Linked DNA regions of Arabidopsis thaliana. The protein of the gene in region 4 interacts with the protein of the main gene of each other region in a pairwise test. Each region holds a gene or a part of one and is shown on either strand. Other genes may lie near its edges. The genes, in order: CNGC5, ENODL15, ENODL9 and AT1G07860.

The links.
Region 1: the proteins of AT1G07860 (region 4) and CNGC5 interact in a protein complementation assay, tested with the Arabidopsis thaliana proteins (one large-scale study listed by BioGRID).
Region 2: the proteins of AT1G07860 (region 4) and ENODL15 interact in a protein complementation assay, tested with the Arabidopsis thaliana proteins (one large-scale study listed by BioGRID).
Region 3: the proteins of AT1G07860 (region 4) and ENODL9 interact in a protein complementation assay, tested with the Arabidopsis thaliana proteins (one large-scale study listed by BioGRID).

The regions. Positions count from the first base shown.
Region 1 is NC_003076.8:23,454,251-23,461,866, reverse strand, and holds CNGC5 (cyclic nucleotide gated channel 5), read right to left. Parts: upstream 5,303-7,616; 5' UTR 5,201-5,302; exon of another isoform or gene 4,970-5,200; intron 4,852-4,969; 5' UTR 4,752-4,851; coding exon 4,723-4,751; intron 4,544-4,722; coding exon 3,961-4,543; intron 3,800-3,960; coding exon 3,587-3,799; intron 3,196-3,586; coding exon 2,885-3,195; intron 2,745-2,884; coding exon 2,633-2,744; intron 2,495-2,632; coding exon 2,258-2,494; intron 2,097-2,257; coding exon 1,428-2,096; 3' UTR 1,246-1,427; downstream 1-1,245. Other genes in the region: AT5G57950 (26S proteasome regulatory subunit), read right to left, coding at 1-241, 420-524, 816-876, 962-1,189; APO2 (APO RNA-binding protein (DUF794)), read right to left, coding at 5,513-6,344, 6,430-6,782, 6,929-7,047, 7,150-7,177; ENODL10 (early nodulin-like protein 10), read right to left, coding at 7,611-7,616. UniProt on the Arabidopsis thaliana protein: Probable cyclic nucleotide-gated ion channel.
Region 2 is NC_003075.7:15,399,044-15,403,596, reverse strand, and holds ENODL15 (early nodulin-like protein 15), read right to left. Parts: upstream 1,958-4,553; 5' UTR 1,800-1,957; coding exon 1,616-1,799; intron 1,521-1,615; coding exon 1,171-1,520; 3' UTR 968-1,170; downstream 1-967. Other genes in the region: PGR3 (proton gradient regulation 3), read right to left, coding at 1-577; AT4G31830 (uncharacterized protein), read left to right, coding at 2,492-2,794. UniProt on the Arabidopsis thaliana protein: May act as a carbohydrate transporter. Required, together with ENODL11, ENODL12, ENODL13, ENODL14 and ENODL15, for male-female communication and pollen tube reception and burst at the synergid cell surface of the female gametophyte.
Region 3 is NC_003074.8:7,185,521-7,190,041, forward strand, and holds ENODL9 (early nodulin-like protein 9), read right to left. Parts: upstream 2,002-4,521; 5' UTR 1,934-2,001; coding exon 1,747-1,933; intron 1,659-1,746; coding exon 1,234-1,658; 3' UTR 1,002-1,233; downstream 1-1,001. Other genes in the region: PDIL5-3 (PDI-like 5-3), read left to right, coding at 45-266, 367-528, 631-708, 793-870; COBL10 (COBRA-like protein 10 precursor), read right to left, coding at 2,543-3,484, 3,571-4,049, 4,299-4,521. UniProt on the Arabidopsis thaliana protein: May act as a carbohydrate transporter. Mainly required for reproductive functions.
Region 4 is NC_003070.9:2,427,936-2,431,954, reverse strand, and holds AT1G07860 (Serine/Threonine-kinase RLCKVII protein), read left to right. Parts: upstream 1-2,523; coding exon 2,524-2,689; intron 2,690-2,729; exon of another isoform or gene 2,730-2,771; coding exon 2,772-3,013; 3' UTR 3,014-3,044; downstream 3,045-4,019. Other genes in the region: AT1G07870 (Protein kinase superfamily protein), read left to right, coding at 112-253, 612-850, 948-1,137, 1,243-1,634, 1,714-2,012, 2,577-2,689, 2,772-3,013; AT1G07850 (transferring glycosyl group transferase (DUF604)), read right to left, coding at 3,236-3,355, 3,517-4,019.

The DNA.
Region 1 (7,616 bases), on a different chromosome or scaffold from region 4:
GCAAGCCTTTGCAACAGGTTGTCACCACCCTCCACGTTGCCAAATTTCAAAACCTGATCTCCAAGCTGTAATCCACCCTCTGCTGCTGGAGATGACTCGTTTATCTCATCAACCATTGCAAAGGGAATACTAGTAACCACATCCACATCCATGGGACCGGAAGTAACACTGAAGCCAGATGTCTGCATGGAGGCAGATAAAGAATTTACTGCAGCACCTGACAAGCTTGTTTCTTCTGGACCTGCATCATTATCTATTCATAAGCTTTGTATCCACCCACGTCGTGCATATGGTTTCAAACTATAAAATGAACTTCTATTAATCATAGCCTTAAGAAAAAGGACCAGAATCAGAAAAGATGATTAAGCCAATCAAAGATTCCAAGCTGAAATTTGGAGCTTCTTCCTGTACAGTCATACCTGAATCTTTTGTGGATGAAGCTCTAGATGTAGGCCTCACTGAATGAAGAATTTGAATGTTCACATTTATCTTTTCCGTTATCTCCCCGTGCTCACTCCTTAACTCTGTGTGGGTGTAGAAACTATTTCAGATAAATAAACCAACTCAAAACGGAAGAAGTAGGGAAAAACTTAACAACTGGTTCACTGTAGAAGCTACACATCAAGCTTGATTCCTTTCAATCTCATTTCCAGCTCACAAAACTATGAATAAACCTCAAGCCAACTAGCCAAGACAAAAACCTAAACTACATATAATCAGTATGATTCTGCTATGTTTCCTAAGTTTAAACTAACCTTGGAGTTGTAGTCTCACCCTAACTATGGACTAATTCAGCACAAGAAAAGAGAAATCACCAGCAAGACGACGGCGCTCAGTTCTCACCATGGGAATGTCAATATCTTCCCGAGGAAATCCCTGCCATAAGCAAACGAATCAAAGGAGAAAATTAAGCAGAATTTTCGGTTAAGATTAGAGAAGAGTGAGGACGCAGATACAGTACCTCCGAGTCGATGAGATTGCCGGAGAGACCAGGACCACCGGGATTGCAGAGACGTTCGACAATAGAGTTCATCTCCGTCTCCATGGCTGTTCTCTTGTCCATTAGAGCCATCGTCTCCGCTTTCAGATTCGCGCCAACCATCTTCTCTTCTCTTCTCCAAGTCCGATCGATTCTTAATTCTTTCACCGAAATCAATCGCAACTTCTCTCTACCTTGGGACCGGAGCATGTCACCGTGAATATATTGTGGGCTTCATTAAAAGGCCCAATAGACCCATTCTTTAACCGGCATATGATCCTAACCGTACATTTATTAAATCCAACGGCTATAATCTCTTTGTTTCTACACTTCATATATTAATTTTACAGACAGCACAAGCAGCTTTAAAGCCAAGCAATATTTGTTTATCTCAACCGTAATGATTCCCATAAATTATAAACAATAATGTCTACAAGCTGCTCAATCATCAGTCAGCAGTGAAATCAGGCTCAGGAGGCTTCTGCAGCTTCACCAAATCCCTAATCTTTGTGTTCCGGTTCCTGTGAATGGTGCGAAGCGCATTAGCCGCAAACTTAGTGGCAAGAAATGCAGCCCCAATGGAGTATGAAGGTCCAGCGGTTGAGCTGGACACAGCCGCGGCCTCGGCTTCTGCCTCTTCCATTTTCTTCCTCTTGCAGTATCTACGCCAGGCAGCCTGGATGAAACAAGCAGCCCAAGTCCTCCATTGGTGAGAGTAAAACCTGAATGTGTGCTGCACTTGCCTGCTATGTAAGCGCCGGAACTGGCTTGCTACAAACTTCAGCTCCTCTGAGGTCAGCGCAAACGCCTCTACTTCTGTCAGAGCTTTCACGGTCCTCGTGGAAGACGGGAGATTTACACCTGATTTTGGATCCAATGCCCATGTCAGAAGCTCTTCCCCGCAGAATTCTCCTTCTTTCAGGAGACTGCGGTTGAAGAAACCGCTCCTGCCTCCATCTGTTGTCACACTCTCGAGGCGACCACGTATTATGAATAGCATCTCGTCTACAGGATCTCCTTCCCGCACTAAGTAGGTACTCTCTGTGAACAAGCATGGTTTCAGCCGCATACAGATCGCATCCAGCAGCTTGTCGTCCATGCTCTTAAACAATGGAACCTAATATTATGGTAAAAACGTATCATGAACCAAGCTAGCTTGTCGATGGTCAAGAGCTCGTTTTAGTTATGAGCCGACTGTTATTCAATGGGTCCTAGATGTTCAAAAGGGTGTGTGATCTATGTGAGAAGCTTGAATAAGGAACAGCGGGGAGAACTTACCCTTCGCACTAAAGCCAGACAGAGATGCCGCTTGATGTCTCTCCGGAGATCCTTGGGAAGATTCTGAACGAGATACTCTTCATCTACACCACGTGTCTCCAACCATTTATACTGGTCATAGCGCCTCACACGCTCCCTAAGATCTTGTGGTAACATTCTGTGATGCATCCATTGTTCTGAATCACGCCTCTTTACTCTCATTTCTTCAAGCCGGATGGTAAGAGATTGGAGATATGTCTGTCCCAAGATTGCAAAATGTTGTTAGATAGTCATTATGCAGAGGAAACAAATTATGCATGATGCTTCCATTGAAAGAGCTTACAAGAAATTTCTAATGATCACGAAAGTAGCTAAGGTTGCACCATAATTACTCACCTGCATGTTTCCAATGAGAAGAGCAAAGAGGATCAACCCAGAAATGGCGAGAGATATGGAAAATATAATCTCCATTGGGTATGTACTGGTTTCAAGCCCTTGTCCAAGTGTACTGTGGTGCAACAATGAGAAGTACTATATGAATATCTGAAACTCATAGACGCATAACTTTGATAAAGGAGCCGAGTTTAGTGAGAATTGGTAAGATCAAAGCAATAGTCTTTCGACTGAATAGTGATAGAACATGGTTACCTCAAGTTCTGAAGGCCCCACCACAAACAATAACAATATTTTACGATGAAGTTTTGGGACGAGACAATTCCAGACGATAAAGCCTGTGTATAAATCCCAAAGTCAAATGGAGGATTATTATCATCGAGGTCAGCTCGGCACTTGGACTTAAGAACAGATTCCTTGGCTCTGTTCCAAACAGCATAGCCGTCCATGTTTTGATTGCCACAGTACAAGAAATCTGTGCTGCAATTCCCTGCATCTATACAGGCCTCCTGCCAGCAGGCGTCGTTACGTTCTAAGGCTAAAAGGTACCAAAAAGCTCCAACTATCTGCAAGATACGAAACAGTGGCTCAATCAAAATAGCACTTACCAAGTCAATACTATTATTGAAGAGTAAATAAGCTATACAATCAGAGTTGCTCGTCATAAGAAACTTGACATTTGTGATCCCATGAGGCATGAACATCAACTAAGATAAAACGAAAGGTTGCATAGAACATCAAAGGTAAGCATAGACGGCTTAACCAGAAAGCTCAATAAGCTCCTTTACATGTCTTAGGAAACTAAACATTTGAACATAAGTTCATAACAGTGAAACGGATATGCAAATATTTCCTTGTTTTGCACTTTTGGTGCCACAGTCACATAACTCATGGTGAATGGGCAAGCATTGAATAGTACAAGCAACGTCTTAAAATGAAAAAGGTATATAAACTCACATGACTTGCAAGCATATATAAAAGCAGATAATAAGCGGCACCAGCCCAAGCCGTTTCAGCAAAGACACCTGCTGTCCTTTTCAATTCTGACGTCAAGGGTAAGACACGTAGGAATCGCGGTATATACTGGACCAAAACAATGAAAAGCAAGGCCTGCTTTGTAGCCAATACATCCGACCCATTTGAACTTTGCAAGAACCTCCAAACTACAATCTGCACATACACAAAATGAGTACTGTAAATCTAGAACTAGAAAGCGCTTGACAGAGATGTCTGATCACCAACTACTGGCTACTGCACCCTTTCAACAAATTAAGCAATGATGTTTTCCAACACACAATTTACTGAAATGATCAAAACTTATATTAACCAACCTGAGGGAGAGGAAGTACTGAGAGAAAGTCAATAATAAACCAACGTTGTAGATATCTCTTTGCTATCTGTGCAGGATCAATCACGAGTTCACCTCGCCCAAAGACCCGTGATGAAGGTGCAATATAAGCAGTCCTAAGCTGGAGAGCCATGTGAGCGAGATAAAACACATCGATAAAAGTCCGCAATGTACTTGCTGTGATAGCCAGTTTTCTGTCAATACCCAGGCACTTGGACTCAGCATTAATCACAGGAAGATAGAAGAAAAAAGGGTCCACAAACACTGAAAGAATACATGACGCAACGAATAATTTATTGCAATACAAAAGGAATTTATCCTGAGGATCAAATATCTTCTTTTCAGATACTTTAAGGTCTTCTGGGAACACTGCTCGATAAACACCGAAACCAAGTGAACGTCCGATCGACTTAAGCCCTTTGGAACCCTTCTGGATACCTTTCTTGAAGGATCTAGAAGTTTCATTGCTTGCATGAATAGGATGAAGTTGTCCACTGAAATTGGAGGCGTAGTTCTGTTGGAAGGCTACAGATGATGATGGTAACCTAGAGTCCAAATCATCCACCCTATAAAAGGTATGAACAACACCACTTTCAGATTACTATGCACCAACAAGCTATAGTTCAGTACAATCACACTATACTTTCATAAGGAAACAAATCAGAAACAACCATTGCCAAATCAATACGTTTCTCACATTCAAACTTCAGATCTTTGTATTAAAACAAAAGGATGCAGCACTAACCTCACAAAGTTTTCTCTTTTCCCTGCCATGATTGCTTACAAGGAATTCAGAACTCAAGAGCCTTCCAAGATCACTTGCTCAAATCGATGAAGAAAGAGCACAGCTTTAAGACTCTAATCATTAAGCAAGCTGCATCATCCCAAAATAAGACTAAAATACTTAACCTTTGAAAGACCCAAGTAAAAATAAGTCATAACCATATGAAGTTGTCAAGTTGTGCTAAAATGAAGATTAGACTAACTCTGACCAGTATGAAGCGAAGCAACATCATTACATCAACTCAAATGGATAAAAAAGGAAAAAATTTGATGAATGATGGACACCGACACATAGTAACAAATTTAAAGAGGTAGAGCTAGAGAACCAATCTTAAATTTCTCGCATAGAAAAAAGGAGAATTGAATCTTAGAACAAAATTAGAAATAGAGCAGACGTGAACTTGCTGAAGCAAGAGAAAGAGACAAAGACAAAGGCTTACATGGCTACACGGTTTCAAGGGTCCCGTTGATGAGGATAACCAGAGGAACAACTACGAACATGAAAAAGATGAAAGTGGGTATAAAGCTACCAGACAAGTGGTATCGACTTGACACAGACAAAAAAAAGAAAATGGCAACGAGAAAAGATGAAAACGAAGCAAATGACATTTTTACCCTTGATAATAGGATTAGCGTGGATTGTTTTTTTTGTCCTTCAAAAGTCAAAAAGACCTGGGCTGTGATATTATTATACAACACAAGGTGGAATGGAGGATTTTGTACAAGAAGAAGTTTACAAGGTCTTCTACATATCAAACAACCATCTCAGCTTCTTTCACACTCGAAGGAATTCCAACCTCCAGTCTCATTGTAGCTCTATAATGCTCAGGTACAACAGCGCCAGCCTGAGCACATATCTCCACAACAGCAGGTGCTTGCCCGTAGAAGCTTCGTAGCTCTCGCTGCATCGGTGGCCCATTCACATCAGGAACATGCCAAACATATCTTGGCGGTATCAAGTCGTCAAGTACTGCAGATTGCCAACCATGCTGGCCATTCCGCTGTTGGTGCTTGAATGCACCACAGTTCTGGGCCTTGTGTCCCGTTGGACCTACGTGAACCTCTGGACAGTACCCACAGACCCTAACCCTGTACATCCTCATCAGCTTTTTGGCTCCTGCTCTCATTTCTTCCCAGGCCTGTAATGTTTCTTCGGCTAAGGAGACTGTTTCTTCTTCGCTAGATGGGGGAGTGATCTCTGAGACAGGTAACTCAGTTAACAATGGCACTGGAGGAGGCTGAGGCTCTGGATCAGGCAATTCAGTTTCATCTGCATCAACAAACTCGCTTTTGCCAATGCGGATAATCGGTTTTCTTCTCCTTTTTGCTGGAAATTCGGGTATTTCAACGCCGCCCTGAATGCAGAGCTCAACTACAGCAGGAACTCGGGGAATCGAGAATCTTTCATCATGACGGATACGCTTGCCAAGGCGGTCAAAAAGGTGATAGGCTTCAAGAGGAACAATAACGTCCTCAATAACCGAGTTAGTCCATTCATGAAGACCTTTCCTTTGGGAAGTATTGGGACCTTTACACGACTTAAATGGATGCCCATAAGGTCCAACATGAATCTCATTGCACCACCTAAGAGACCAATCATACAACATCAAAAAAAGGCCATACTCAAAACAGACCAAAAATGAAACAAGAAGAAGAAGAGAATTTTTACCCACAAGCATTAACACGAACAACTTTCATAAGCCGGTGGAGATTGTTGATCAATCTGATTCTTGCATTGTATACTTTATAAGCAAGAGGCACAAGGCTCTTCACAACCATACCATTTTTAGGCGGAGGTAGAGGTCTCTTAGGTTTGTCTTTGTTGTTCTTGACTCTCTCCCTCGCAGCTCGTCTCAGGTCCACAATAGGGACTGGGAAAGGTTTCTTCTCTCGCCTTGTGTACTGCTTAGGTAAGTCTTCATTCTGAGGACGATCATTTCTCACAACTAATGGCAGAGATCGACGCTCTTTACTAAGCACAACTCTTGAATTCAACTGAAGGCTAAACTCAATGCTACTTCCCTGCACAACATATCCGCACATAACAGTAAACATTGACTCTCTACTTCAAAGGGAAGCAACGAAGTGTGGTCTAATTCTAAGAACCAAAACAACAACGAAGCAGAGTCTGGAGAATTGGATGATACTGACTAGTAAAGGAATCTGACCTGAAGAGAAGGAGAGAACCCAAATCTATAAAACGTGTTGGGATTAAGAAATTGCCTCCTGGTTACGCTATGAATAGCAAAAGGTACACTTTTTGGTGAAAACCCAGAAACTGTACTAGCTGGATAAAACAACGGAAACCAAAATCAATCACAGTCTCACAATAAATGGATAAAATTGAGCATTGAGGACGGATTCGACACACAGTGAGGAAGAAACTTACAGGAAATAGCGGAGTACGTTATCGACATCGTCGACAGTTGCTGGATTAAACCATTGGAAGATGGAGGATAAGGAAGAGAGAGCGGTCTCAGTCCCGGAGACGAAGAAGATAGCTAATGTAAATCGTGGACAAGCTTAAAGCTAATAAGTTCAAATAATGGGCCTTTAATGGGCAGAAGTTCCCATTAGGCCCACTTATAATAACATTTGTTTCCAAATTCCACAGTTGTATAACCGATCCGGCCTTTAATGTTTTCTTTCCAATTTGAATTTAGGATATTAACCAAAACTAACATTGTATTAAACACTCAGACAGAGTAATGCAAAGAAACAAGTAAACTTACAAACCGAAATCGAACCGAATTGGCTAAGAAACAAGACTAAATCACAAGCCAAAGTAACAAGTAAACCGGAAAATACAAACCGAAATCGAACCGAATTGGCTAGAGGTAATTCACAAGACTAAAC
Region 2 (4,553 bases), on a different chromosome or scaffold from region 4:
CATTGTATGAATATGCATTCAACACAAAACCAAATTCTCTCATCTTCCGAAGTGCATAAGGTGCTTGCTTCAATCCACCTTTCACAGAAAGACTCTTGAAGATAGTCAAGTAAGTATTAGTATCCCTCTTTATGATTCTTTTCTGCATCAAATCAAACACATAAGCCATTTCCTCAAGTTTACCATCAACCCTCAAAGCTTCAAGCATGTAGTTACAAGTCTCAGTAGTGTGAACTAAATTCAAATTCCCAGCCACTGATTTGAAATACGAAAATGAAGAATCAGTATCAGGAAACGACTTTAAACCCCTCGTTACTTCTTCACTCGATGACAAATCAGGTTTTGAGCTCTTTCTTATCATAGAACCCGAAAAGTCAGAACTTTTCATGGAGACTACACTACATCTCATACTCTTCCTTCTCCAGTGTTTCTTCCGAGACCCAATCTTCAAAGCGTGGAACTTTAATCCTCCAGTAACCAAATTATCGCGACATTTTGCTTTGATGTTACTAACAAGACAAGCATCACCAACTGATATATCACCACACAAACTCGCAGAGCAGAGTAACGCGACCATTCTAGAGATAAGCCAAGCAAGCAAAACAATTCAATTCTCCGGCAAAAATTGAAACGAAAACAGAGATTAACGATGATGATTCATCACATTTCAAGTGGCGCAGATATAACTAACAAAACACAAACACGTGCTGAATAGCTATGAGCATTTTGATTCGTCTCCGTTCACCGGCTGAAAAGAGCGCGAGGGAGTCGATTTCGGTGAACCGGAGATTTTTGATGAAAGAATTTTCGAAGCAGAATAATAAAAAACTTGCCGAGAGGATAAAATCAGACTCGCTCCACTCGATCCTTACCGTTTTGCTTCCCTCCCAAAATATCTTTAGGCCCAATTCAGGCCCATTTTTAGGCCTCTTTTCACGACAGTCCAGGTTTCTTTGTGTTGCTGTAAATTACCTTTTTGGGTACTAAATTCAAAATTCTCATTCACTTTTGTTTTGTTTTCTTTGTTGATTGTTGATAGATCCAACTAATTTATCCAGAATTGAAAAAGAGGAAGAACAATTTAGATTAAAATAAATTTAATGTAGTAAATAACAAAGATTTCTACTTTATATTCCAAAATTAATAAATAGAATTAAGACTAATTGTCTTTTAAAAGAAGAAGGCCCATAATCCAAGAACAAGCCCAAATACGACACTAAATCCGCCGGCGAGCTTAGCGGCACCACTAGTAGGAGCTACGGCTGGACCGTCGAACTCAGATGGCGAAGGACCTGGAGAGAAAGCAGAGTTACGAGGAGTGATGACGACTAGGCGTAGCTTCTGACCCTTTTGACAATGACCCTCTGTTCCACTGACGAAGTAGACCGGACCAGCTTGGTCAAGCTTCACCTTTGTGTTCCCGTCGGTGTAGCTGGCTTTAGGGCTAGTGGTGTTGCATTTCTCGTATGCTTCTCGTGTCACTTGCAAAACCGAGTCTTTACCGGCTTCGTACTTGAATACTGTAATAAACATGTGACGATGTCAGAAACAGAGTATATTGAAGATCACACAAAATGTCTAATTGAAAAAAAAAAGTTGAAAATTATGGATTTACCGATAAAGTCGCCGACTTTGAAGCGAGCCTTTTGAGCCCATTCGTTAAAGGAGAAAGAAGAGGAAGGAGGGATCTTCCAGTCACCGGATTTTCCACCGACGGTAACCTCATTTGCATTCACGGACGAAAAGAAGAAGACAGAGATGCAGAGGAAGATGGTGACCAAAAGAGAAGAAGAAGCCATTGATTAGAATCTAAAACCTTAAAAGTATTAGAGTGTGTAATGTGTTTTAAAGTGTGTTGAGGATGGAGAGAGTGTGGATCTTGTGTGGTTTATATAAAGGTAGAGGACTTGGAAACTAGCCGTTTAGGAATTACGAAAAATTAAAAGGAAAAAATGGTAAATGTTAATGTATCCGTTGGAGAGATGATAAAGGCAACGTAACGGTTAGGATTGAGCGACAAAACTTGAACTCTGATAGAGAAAGTGATTTCACGGTCTTCTAGGAAGACTGGTCAAGCTAAGCTGTTTCTGTTTTTTGTTTTTGTACTTTACTTTTTGTTTGCTAGTGGGAACTGGGTTTATTGGGCCTTGAAGTTGATAAAAGATGAATAAAAGACATATCGCCTAAAGCCCATATGAGAAGCAGAAGACAAAAACCTCCAACTTTGGGCATAAATTTTGATTATAGTTAAAAGTCCAGACCCAATTTGGCACCTGGCTTAGTTACGATTCTAAGGCATGACACCTGCCTAATATGTTTATTACAGAAAATAAAGAGAATCAGCTAGGTGTCCCTTATTGAACACATTAACAAACTCCAACGACACTACGTGTCTTCGTGACTCTTACTATATCCAAAAACCTATAGCTAAAGCTGAATTTTCCATGATTAGTATAGTCCCAACCAAAAAAATACTGAAGAAGGCATAAGCATGGCCGGAGAAGAAGACTGGAGAAAAACAGCAGATACGACGAAGATGAGCTCGGAGGGAGTAAAAGCTGCCGGCGTTGAGTCATCAAAGAGGCCGCCAGGAAGTAATCCAGGTGGTGTTCTTCATCAACGCCGTAACTTGCCATACAGTTACACGACGATGGCTCTAGCCGGATTAGCTATCTCGGGGGCCATCATGTACACTGTTATGTATGCTAAGAAGAAGCCGGAAGCCACTGCCACTGATGTAGCTAAGGCTGCCACAGGGACGGCTAAACCTGAAGATACACATCCAAGAAAGTAAAATTTCAAGGGAAGAATTAAAGGGTTTATCTTCTTCTTCTTTTTTTGCTTTTGTAATTTTGTTCTTGCTTCATGCTCTTGTTGGAACTTCTTATTTACTTGTAATAAAATAACATAACGTGTCCAAGAATGGCTTATGTCAACTACTAGAGCAAGCAGAAGAATAAAATGGGAGGAATAGAGTAGTCTTGTGTAGCAAATGCATGCGTATAATTTAGATCACCGAATCCTCTACATTTCTCTGTGTTATGTCGCTTAAAAGTAGGGCCATTATTGTGGGCTTCTTTTGCGTATTAATATTTTTGGGCCATATCCTAAAAGATGTGTAGAGCATCATCATGCATGGCATTCAAAGACTACAAATCCGGTTTTGCAGTCTTTTGATATGACTTTGATTACGTTTTTATATTTCCAGTCTTAATGAAAAATAGAAAATTCCAATTGTTTATGGAATTTATTCAGTTTGGTTTTGATTTAGTTTTAGGGTAAATTCTCTAACAAGAAAACTCAATTTGAAAATTTCGAACGGTGTGATTATTTTGAATCGGCAATGTGGTCTTGATTACTTACTGTCAAGTGCCAAATAAAAGTTTAAGGAAAGAAATAGTAATTTTTTAGTCAACTACAAAATAATAGCAAGTTGATTCTATGAGACAATTGGTGATTCGCATGTCTTTAAAAAACGTTGATTGGCATAAAATAAGATCGTAACGTTATAAATATGAAAAAATTAGGTGAGTCCACTTAATGGCCCAGAAAAGTAAGTGTATTGACATAGGCTGTTAGGTAGAAACACTCATGTGTTGCTTTATGAGCATAAAACCTGGACGACAAACTTTTTTTTCTCTCCTCACCAACTGCACACATTTTATTTATAAATCAACATTTTCGTCTTTAAATTAGGCTGATCATCGTTTACTTTCTAATCAATTCTGATAAAACATTCAAAGTACTACTACTAAAAGCTTCAGTTCAAGTATCCACTACTTAGAAACATATCTAACGGCTCGTCCATAAGCCATAACTCATGACTAACAATTAAATATCTAAAATCTTCACTTTCCAATTTTTCAATAACAAAAAGATAGAAATTCAATGACTTAAATGAGATTTTGCATAAGTTTGGTATGTAACGTCATTAGAATCAACTCTCTCACTCGTAAATATTAATTAGAGCTACAAATTTAATAGATACGTACATTATATATATACATTGTTTTGTGCAAAATAAAACAAATGGCCACGTTATTTTTTACTTGGATAATAGGGTTTGTGTACTTATTCCTCAAACCCATATGATAACATTTCGTCATTTGGCAAATACAGCTTACTATTACGAAACTCACACCACTATTACAAAACATCCAATTGAGTCTTCTCCATATTGGTGGAGTCTTCTATCATTTTATTTCATGATGTTCAAGAAGAAAACAATAAGATAAAGATAGACCTGAAAACGACCAAAGTTATTCTGCGGAAACTATTTGTACATTCCAAATAATTCAAGTAAGTTTTACACAAATAAAACTAAGGGTAAAAACTAATTTTCGTCTACTTATAAAAAGGTAAAAGAAGTTAAAAAAAAAAGAGTAGGAAATTATAAAGAAATTTATGAAGAAAGGAGAAAAGGAAGAGAAGAAGCACAAGGTTGCAATTATGGAGGTTTGGACCCATAGTCAGTGTTCACCATCATTTGTTTATGATGCCTTATGCTCACGCCTGTCTATAATTATCTTTCTATTATTTTTCAACATTAAACC
Region 3 (4,521 bases), on a different chromosome or scaffold from region 4:
TTGATTTGTGGCATGTACTGAAATTTGTCTTTTGTATGTTTCAGGTTCCAGGAAATCTCGTGATCTCAGCTCATTCAGGAGCTCATTCATTTGATTCTTCTCAAATGAACATGTCGCATGTTGTTTCTCATTTTTCGTTTGGGAGGATGATTTCTCCTAGGCTGCTGACCGATATGAAGCGATTGTTGCCATATCTTGGCCTAAGCCATGACAGGCTGGATGGAAAGGCATTCATAAATCAACATGAGTTTGGTGCCAATGTCACTGTAAGTCCCAGAAACCTTCATAGGAATTTAGAGTCTTGAACAATCGTCAAATTTTCTTTTACTGGCTCTCATCTAACTGTTTTCAACATGCTTTCTACAGATCGAACACTACCTTCAAACAGTCAAAACAGAGGTCATTACAAGAAGATCCGGTCAAGAACATTCACTGATAGAGGAATATGAATACACCGCTCACAGCAGCGTGGCTCAGACTTACTACTTACCCGTTGCGAAGTTTCACTTTGAGCTCTCTCCTATGCAGGTTCAGTCCTCATTTACACAAACAAGAGATTATCTCTCGAAAATGTCACAATATATATACTTTCCTCTTTATAATTACTCCTTGGTTGGTCTGTTTTTGCAGATCTTAATAACCGAAAACCCGAAGTCCTTCTCACACTTCATCACAAATCTGTGTGCCATTATTGGTGGTGTTTTCACGGTTAGTAATTTCTCAGTTACCTTGCGTCTTCATACCCGCATGGATTCAATGGTCATTTCTGATTTTACATGTGGATTTTTTCAGGTTGCCGGAATACTAGATTCGATTTTTCACAATACAGTAAGACTGGTAAAAAAGGTCGAACTTGGGAAAAACATTTGATCGTCCACTGGAGGTTAGAATTTTCCATTAATATATAAAACCATAGAAGAACCTCAGACTGTTTACTTTGAATAGCTGATCTACACAGAAAAACTCAAAAAAAGAGAGAATTTTTGTTTGACACAATCTTAGTTTCTTTATGGTTCTTGTTCTATTAAAATCCGCCTGGTTTTTCTTATCCTTCCATTACTATATACATATGACATCAGTAAAATACACACGAGTAGAACTTTTATTCATATACATGAAAAACAAATGGGGTAAAAAATCAAACAACAAACACCAATTGACACAAACTTGGATGAAGAGGGAAAGGGAAAAGACTCGATACAGAATGAAAAGGGAAGACAAAAGAGAAACTTCTTAGTGTAGGAATAGAGTGGAAGCTAGAGCAGCCCCAAGAAGAGCAGCGACAAATGATAAGGAAGAAGCTGCGCTGTTTGGAGTGTCTTCAGAAGTAGTAGGCGTCGGTGCTGGGGTCATCTCAAAGGTTCCCGAGACAGGTGGAGAAGGAGCGGATTCTCCTGAGGGAGCTGGGGCTGGGGACGGCGGTGATGATGCGGTGTTTTTGTTGCCGCTTCTATCAGCCATGACGATGACCACAAGCTTCTCGTTTTTCTTGCAGTTGTCTTTGTTTCCACTAATGAAATAGTATGGCCCAGAGTGGTTCAGCGTGACAGAAGTTTTGCCATCGGCGAATTTAGCGGTTGGTGAGTCCGTGTTGCAGCTGTCGTAAGCGTCTCTTGTGACTTGGAGCACTGAATCTTGGTTTGATTGGTAGACGAACACTGCATTGTATAAATTTGTGTCATATGCGAAGAAACTAAGATTGCAGTTAACGAATCAAATAGTATCAATACAGTGTGAAAAACTTACACAGAGAGTCACCAATTTGGAATCTGCTCTGTTCTGCCCATTGACTGTACACTTGAGAACCAGAAGGGACGGTCCAACCTGTTGCACCACCGACCGTAAACTCTCTAGCGTAGGCTCGGTCAACGATCATAAGAAAACACAAGAGACCAAACCCACAAAGCATCATGCTCTTTAGGTTTCGTGCCATTTCGTAAGCTAAATAACAGAGATTTTAGAAAGGTGAAGGTGAATCTAGTGTGGTATAGGGTTTGATATGAGATGATGAAAGGCAAATGGGTTTATATAAAGGTGATGCTTTTTGATTTTGAGGAAATGTTGCAGAGAAGCTTTTTATTGTCTTTTTTCAAATTCTAAGCAAAGCATAAATGCCAGAAGTGTTTCAGTTTTGGAATCTCATGTGACTTGCTTCTTCTGTCAATGGCTTTTGTTCTTTGCTTCAGAATCTTTGTGTTATATTTTATTATTACTTTTCGGATAAAGATCTTCAAGAACGAAGAGAGATTTCACAAAAACATCAAATCAAAGTACTAAGATCTTCTTCATGCCAAAAAAAAGGCCAACACTAATCTGAGATTTTGGGATTACTAGAGAACAACATACACTTTAATACTTTTATAGACCAAACAAAAGTATTAATACAACATTGTCAATATTTTTCCAACTTAGATCAATCATATAACAATCTGCTCCTTTTGATCCTTCCTCTGTTCAGCAACATCATCAAAACACCAATCTTAAGAATTTGAAGATCAAAAAAACTGATCAAGAATGGTAAGTATAGTTATCTCCTCAGTAATTAATCCATCATTAGTGCAAAAGCCGCGATTGTTGCGAAAACAAAGGACATTGAGACACTGATACCGCGTCTATGCCCTGAGCTCTTCTTAGGGAAATGTTTTGGAAGCGCACATTCTTCTCCATTGAAGAAAAGCTTTGTTGGGAAACCGTCGCCTTCGGGAATATTCAGTCCTTTGATGTTTTTCTTGGTGAAGGAGATGACAGATTGTTGCTTTCCGGGCACGGGAGGGTCTCTTAATGGATTTGTTCCATTAACTTGACCTACAAGATAGTTCATACCAGGCAAGCCTTGGAAGATAACGGTTCGATTGCTTGGTGGAACACGTGTTCCATTAAAGGAGTAAACGTTTTCATATCCTGGACCTGCCTTTCCCATATCAATCGCCACAAACCAATCCTCAAACGCGAAATCTCTCCAATTAAAAACGGTTAACCTTGCGGTCCAACCATTTTTGTAATCCGTGCTAACGTGCCAGTTAATGCTGACTCCGCAGTTATCTGGACAAGGAAGTTTCTTTGGTACTGGCATGTGATTTTGTTTAGCCCAAGCTTTAGCTTTTAAGGTTCGGTTATCGAACGGAACAAGGAGAGCGTCAGGAGGGAGGAGGAGCGGGTTACTGTTAGCATTGCAAGTGTCGGTATCGATGTCATTGCATCCGCAAGCACAAGTGTTGCAAGGAACTGCAGAGTTGTTGTAAAATGCAGAGAAAGAGACACAACATCTTGAGGCTTGGGCTTTAGGCTTGGTTATGTTGCAGACCACTTGCCAGCTGGAGATGGCGTAGGTTACAGCCAGTAGACCGCTAGGATCAGGGAATTGAGACGGGTCAACACGAACCGGTGGCCCGCATTTGTACTGAGGATTGAGAACACCGTCGATTTTCCAATGCTGAGGTGGGTATAGAGCTGTTCTGTTTAGGTCAGGAGGCAACTTGAAAACCTAACAAATTGAGAGAAAACAAAAACTTCAAAACCCGAAGATTTCTACGATCTCATAACATATTTTAAACGAAAGAGATGATTTACCTGCAATTGAAACATAGATCTAGATTTCGAAGGATCCATAATAGGTGGCAAGAGAGTTCCGTTTTTGCAACAGAAAGGTAACTTTCCTGTCATGTTATCTTCCTTCTTCTCAGGAGGCAAATCGGAAATGGCTGGTTTTCTCTGACAATTCATGACCTGGGAGAAATCTAAGTCTTTGTAATACTGTCCAGCTTTGCTATAAAGGCATTCCGATGGATCTTTCTTATGAGTGTAAGCTCCTCGCATAGTGTTTATAAACTCTCCTCGCATCCATTCAAAAGTCAGGTTCCAACGGTCTAACCGCCCGAGAGGATTATCATTGTCGATGGTCACTTGGGCTAAGTAGTTGCTGTCGAATGATTGCAGAACATCGTAGACTATGTTCAGGTCACCGTACCTTCTCGGTGCAAACTTTGTCTTTAGTCCGATCTTGTTCTTGATCTTAGGGTTTCTCTTGCAACACACGTGCATACTACCTCCTGCGCAAGATAACAAAACACACCGTTTTGAATATCACATTCACCACATCTTTTTTATTTTTGTTTGACAATTATATTAGGGAGTGTAAATATTTAATGATTTAACCTAAATTGATTCATAAACTGCAAATGCAAACGCAATTTTTTTTTTACGTTTTGCATTGCGTTCATAATTTCCCTATAAATAATATTTTGATGATAAAAAATATAAATTAGTTGCGTTTGAAACGATTTGAGTATTGATCTAACCTTTTCTTTTAGCGGCGGGACATTCCCAACCATCGTTGGTGAGCTTAATAGTTCTTGGCATGGGCGTGACCGCTTTTGAAACCCCAAAAAGAGTTCCTGTGATCTCGATATTCGCAGATATCTGAGTGAAATCACCGGCTGTTTCAATAGAGGTTTTTAAATCCATGTTTGGCGATCCAACGAACGTGGTTCCATTGCTCGCGTCTAGAGGATAATCTCCGTC
Region 4 (4,019 bases):
GGTTTTTTGGTGTTGGGTTTTATCTGGGTTCCTGATTTCTTCAACGAGGAAGGAAGGAAGAAGAAGAGAAAAGGGACAAGCGAGAATTACTCTTTTCTCCTTCAATTTCCGATGGGTTGTTTCGGATGCAGTAAGAAATCGAGCAAACGATCCGAGACTAACAAAGATACTGTCATAAATAGAAAAATTGTCGGTGGTACTACGAGCGTTGCTAAGAGTGATAAGCGAGACGATCAGACTCAGCCCAGTTCAGGTATCGAGTGATTTTGACTAATTTCGTTATTCTCTCTTCTCCACAAGCTCTCTTTTGGATTTGTTGATTTTTTTTTATCGGATACTTATGTTTAGGTTTTTCTGTATCTGTTACATTTGGGAGAGACATTTAATGGAGATTTTTTGTGATTTTTCCCCGGAGAATTTTGATGCATGTGTACTATTCACCATATAAACGATGTTGGGTTTTTGAAATCGAGCTAGTTTTTTTTGGTTTTGTCTCCTCCATGAGGGGACAAAGTGTCAAAATTGAGCCTTTGGTATCTTGCCGTGTCTGTTTTTGGTTAAGTCACATGATAACTGGTAATCGATTTTGTTACTCGTTCCATGTGTTGTAGATTCAACAAAAGTCAGTCCATATAGAGATGTAAACAATGAAGGAGGAGTTGGTAAGGAAGATCAGTTATCTTTGGATGTGAAGGGTTTGAATCTAAATGACCAAGTCACAGGGAAGAAAGCACAGACTTTTACTTTTCAAGAACTTGCAGAAGCTACGGGAAACTTTAGATCGGATTGTTTTCTTGGTGAAGGAGGTTTCGGAAAAGTTTTCAAGGGAACTATAGAGAAATTGGATCAGGTACTTGTGACAAAGAAAAATCCTATCTGTTTTTATCAATTGGCTGTGAGATTTGTCATAGTTTTGAACGGTTGGTGAAACTTGGTTCTGCTGCTAGGTTGTTGCAATCAAGCAACTTGATCGTAATGGGGTTCAAGGAATCAGGGAATTTGTGGTTGAGGTATTGACTCTAAGTCTTGCTGACCATCCGAATCTTGTGAAGCTTATTGGGTTTTGTGCTGAGGGTGATCAGAGACTACTGGTGTACGAGTATATGCCGCAAGGATCCCTTGAAGATCATCTACATGGTATGTTGTAAGATCAAATTCCTATCCTTTGCCTCTGTATTGTTTGTCTCGCAGCTACCCCCTTTTCTCATCTAACTTTTACATTGTTGTTTTGACTGTTTCAAGTTCTCCCTTCTGGTAAAAAGCCTCTTGACTGGAACACCCGGATGAAAATAGCAGCTGGTGCAGCAAGAGGTTTAGAGTATCTGCATGACAGAATGACGCCCCCTGTGATTTACCGAGATCTTAAATGTTCGAATATTTTGCTTGGTGAAGACTATCAACCGAAACTATCTGACTTTGGGTTGGCTAAAGTAGGACCAAGCGGGGATAAAACCCATGTCTCGACAAGGGTTATGGGAACGTACGGATACTGTGCTCCTGACTACGCTATGACGGGTCAGCTCACATTTAAATCCGATATATACAGTTTTGGAGTAGTCCTTCTCGAGCTTATCACCGGAAGGAAAGCGATTGACAATACAAAAACGCGTAAAGATCAGAATTTGGTTGGATGGGTATGTTTTGTCTCTTGGCTGTGACTCATAATAATCTTTACTGAAACAAGACTCATATTTTCACGGTGCTTTTTAACAGGCACGACCATTGTTCAAAGACAGGAGGAACTTCCCAAAAATGGTTGATCCATTGCTTCAGGGACAATACCCAGTTAGAGGACTGTACCAAGCACTAGCAATATCAGCAATGTGCGTTCAAGAGCAGCCTACCATGAGACCAGTGGTATCTGATGTAGTATTGGCTCTCAACTTCTTAGCCTCTTCTAAATATGATCCGAATAGCCCTAGCAGCAGCAGCGGGAAGAACCCTTCTTTTCACAGAGACAGAGATGATGAAGAGAAAAGACCACACCTCGTCAAGGAAACTGAATGTGAAGGGTCCTCATAGGATATCCAATAAGAGAGTGGTAAAAAATCAAATCTAATTTTGGCTTCACCAAGAAATTGGGGAAAAATATAAAACCAACTCAGGTACATTTTTAACATCTATTGTGGATGTAAATCTTGACTCGGCTTCTTTGTATGTAGAATGTTTCTGTTCTGTAGAAAAGGAAAAAAAAAAAAAACCATTTTGTTTTGGGACATATATACATATATTGAACAAAAACAAATATCGTTGGTCATATATATATTTTCCCGATCAAAAAGTCTGGTAAATTAGGATTAAGTAATGTCTAAAAATTCATAATGATGAATGGCAAAAGTCGTAAATATGTAATAGAAATAGGACTATGATCACGTGATGCAACTTATCCCGCGTGAACCCGTTAAGATTTTTGCCGTTAAATAACCAAAACCTAATCCAAGAAGGCTTCACAAATCTCTTCTCTCTTATCTCTCTCTACTGGTTTTGTGATTCTTGGAAGAGAAGCTACAAGATAAGACAACAATGGCGGAAAGATCATTCTCTCAGCTCCCGATCTCTTCTTCTCACATTGGCAGAAGGACAGGAAACACCCGGAGAGGGATATTTCCGGTATCGGAGTATTGGATCCATGCAATTCCGGTGATCGTTTTTCTCTGTTTCTTCACCCTCTGGATTTTCTCCCACTCAGGTTCCTTATTTCTCCGATTCTTTAATCTAAGAAAAGATTTTCCCGAGAAAATGAGTCTTTCTGATTTTGGTTTTGGTTACAGTGAGCGTCATGAACGATGGAGAGATAATGTCGATACATCGTCTTGAGAAATCCATGGCCGTGAGAAACGAGTCTCATGTCAGTTTAGCGATTCTTGCTTCCTCTGCTGTTTCACCAGCCTCCTCAGCTCTCGTCGCCGTCGTCTCTACCAATCAGAATCTCACAACTTTTCACAACGCAACTCAATCGCAGCAAAATGCAACCCAGTCGGTGAACAAAGCAAAACAGCCACACGCAGTCTAATCTCTGAACGGAGAAAAGTTTCTTTCAGTTTCTTACTGATTTCTTTCATGAACAGATAACTTTCAGGGATTGAATTTTTCTTTTCTTTGTATTTGCTTCAGTTGAAACAATAGTTTTTGATTTAGGATTGAGAATTGTTTGTGAACGACGATACACAGAATGTTTTCAACAAATTGCATAGTCATTTGAAGAAATCTTTAGTGAGTATATATCTGAATCTTGTTAATGCTGCTGAGGATGTTCAAGCTCACTGATCTCTCCATCTGCGCAATTTCCGACCCAAATATACATCGTTTGGTTTCTCCTACTCGGCAATACTCTGCAACAATCCCTCCTCGGTGACTGCACCAAACACACAATTTTAACATCATGTTATTTCAACACCGGTTTATTATATGATCTCAGCCGGTTATCTCTGTCAATTCACTAGCCAAAACCAAACCGGTATGACTATATTTGATGCAAGTTGTTAATAATGAAGCAAAGAGAAGATGTGGACCAACCTTGTGCCATCGGAGGGGATCAGGTCGCTTGAGAACGACGACTGAATCGATCTTTCCAGGCGAATCGAGCCTCCATCGGCACCCGGGAATCCGCCTTGTCTTGTCCAAGTTGTAGTATCCAATCACTTGGCGACGTCCTTCATCATACTTAGCCGAGTTTAAGTAAAACACAAATGGTCTTTGGCACGGATGCCTCGACACTGGTCTCGTGTTAAACGCGTAACCAATGTAGTCGGCTTTGCGGAACCAGTTGAGGAATGTTCTTGAAGGCATCTCAAGTTCGCGAGGGGATATGATGCCTCGGATTATCTGGACTACGAAACCCCATGAGACCGAGATGGACCAGAACCGGTTCTGGTCGTAGCAGATGGACTGCTGGAATATGCTGGCTGGGTCAAGAACTGCTGAAGACATCAAGTGTCGTAGTGCACGTGACCGCTTCATCTTTGGGAATATCGGCTGCACCACATCGATGTGGTGCAGCGACACCAAGGGAGCCACTG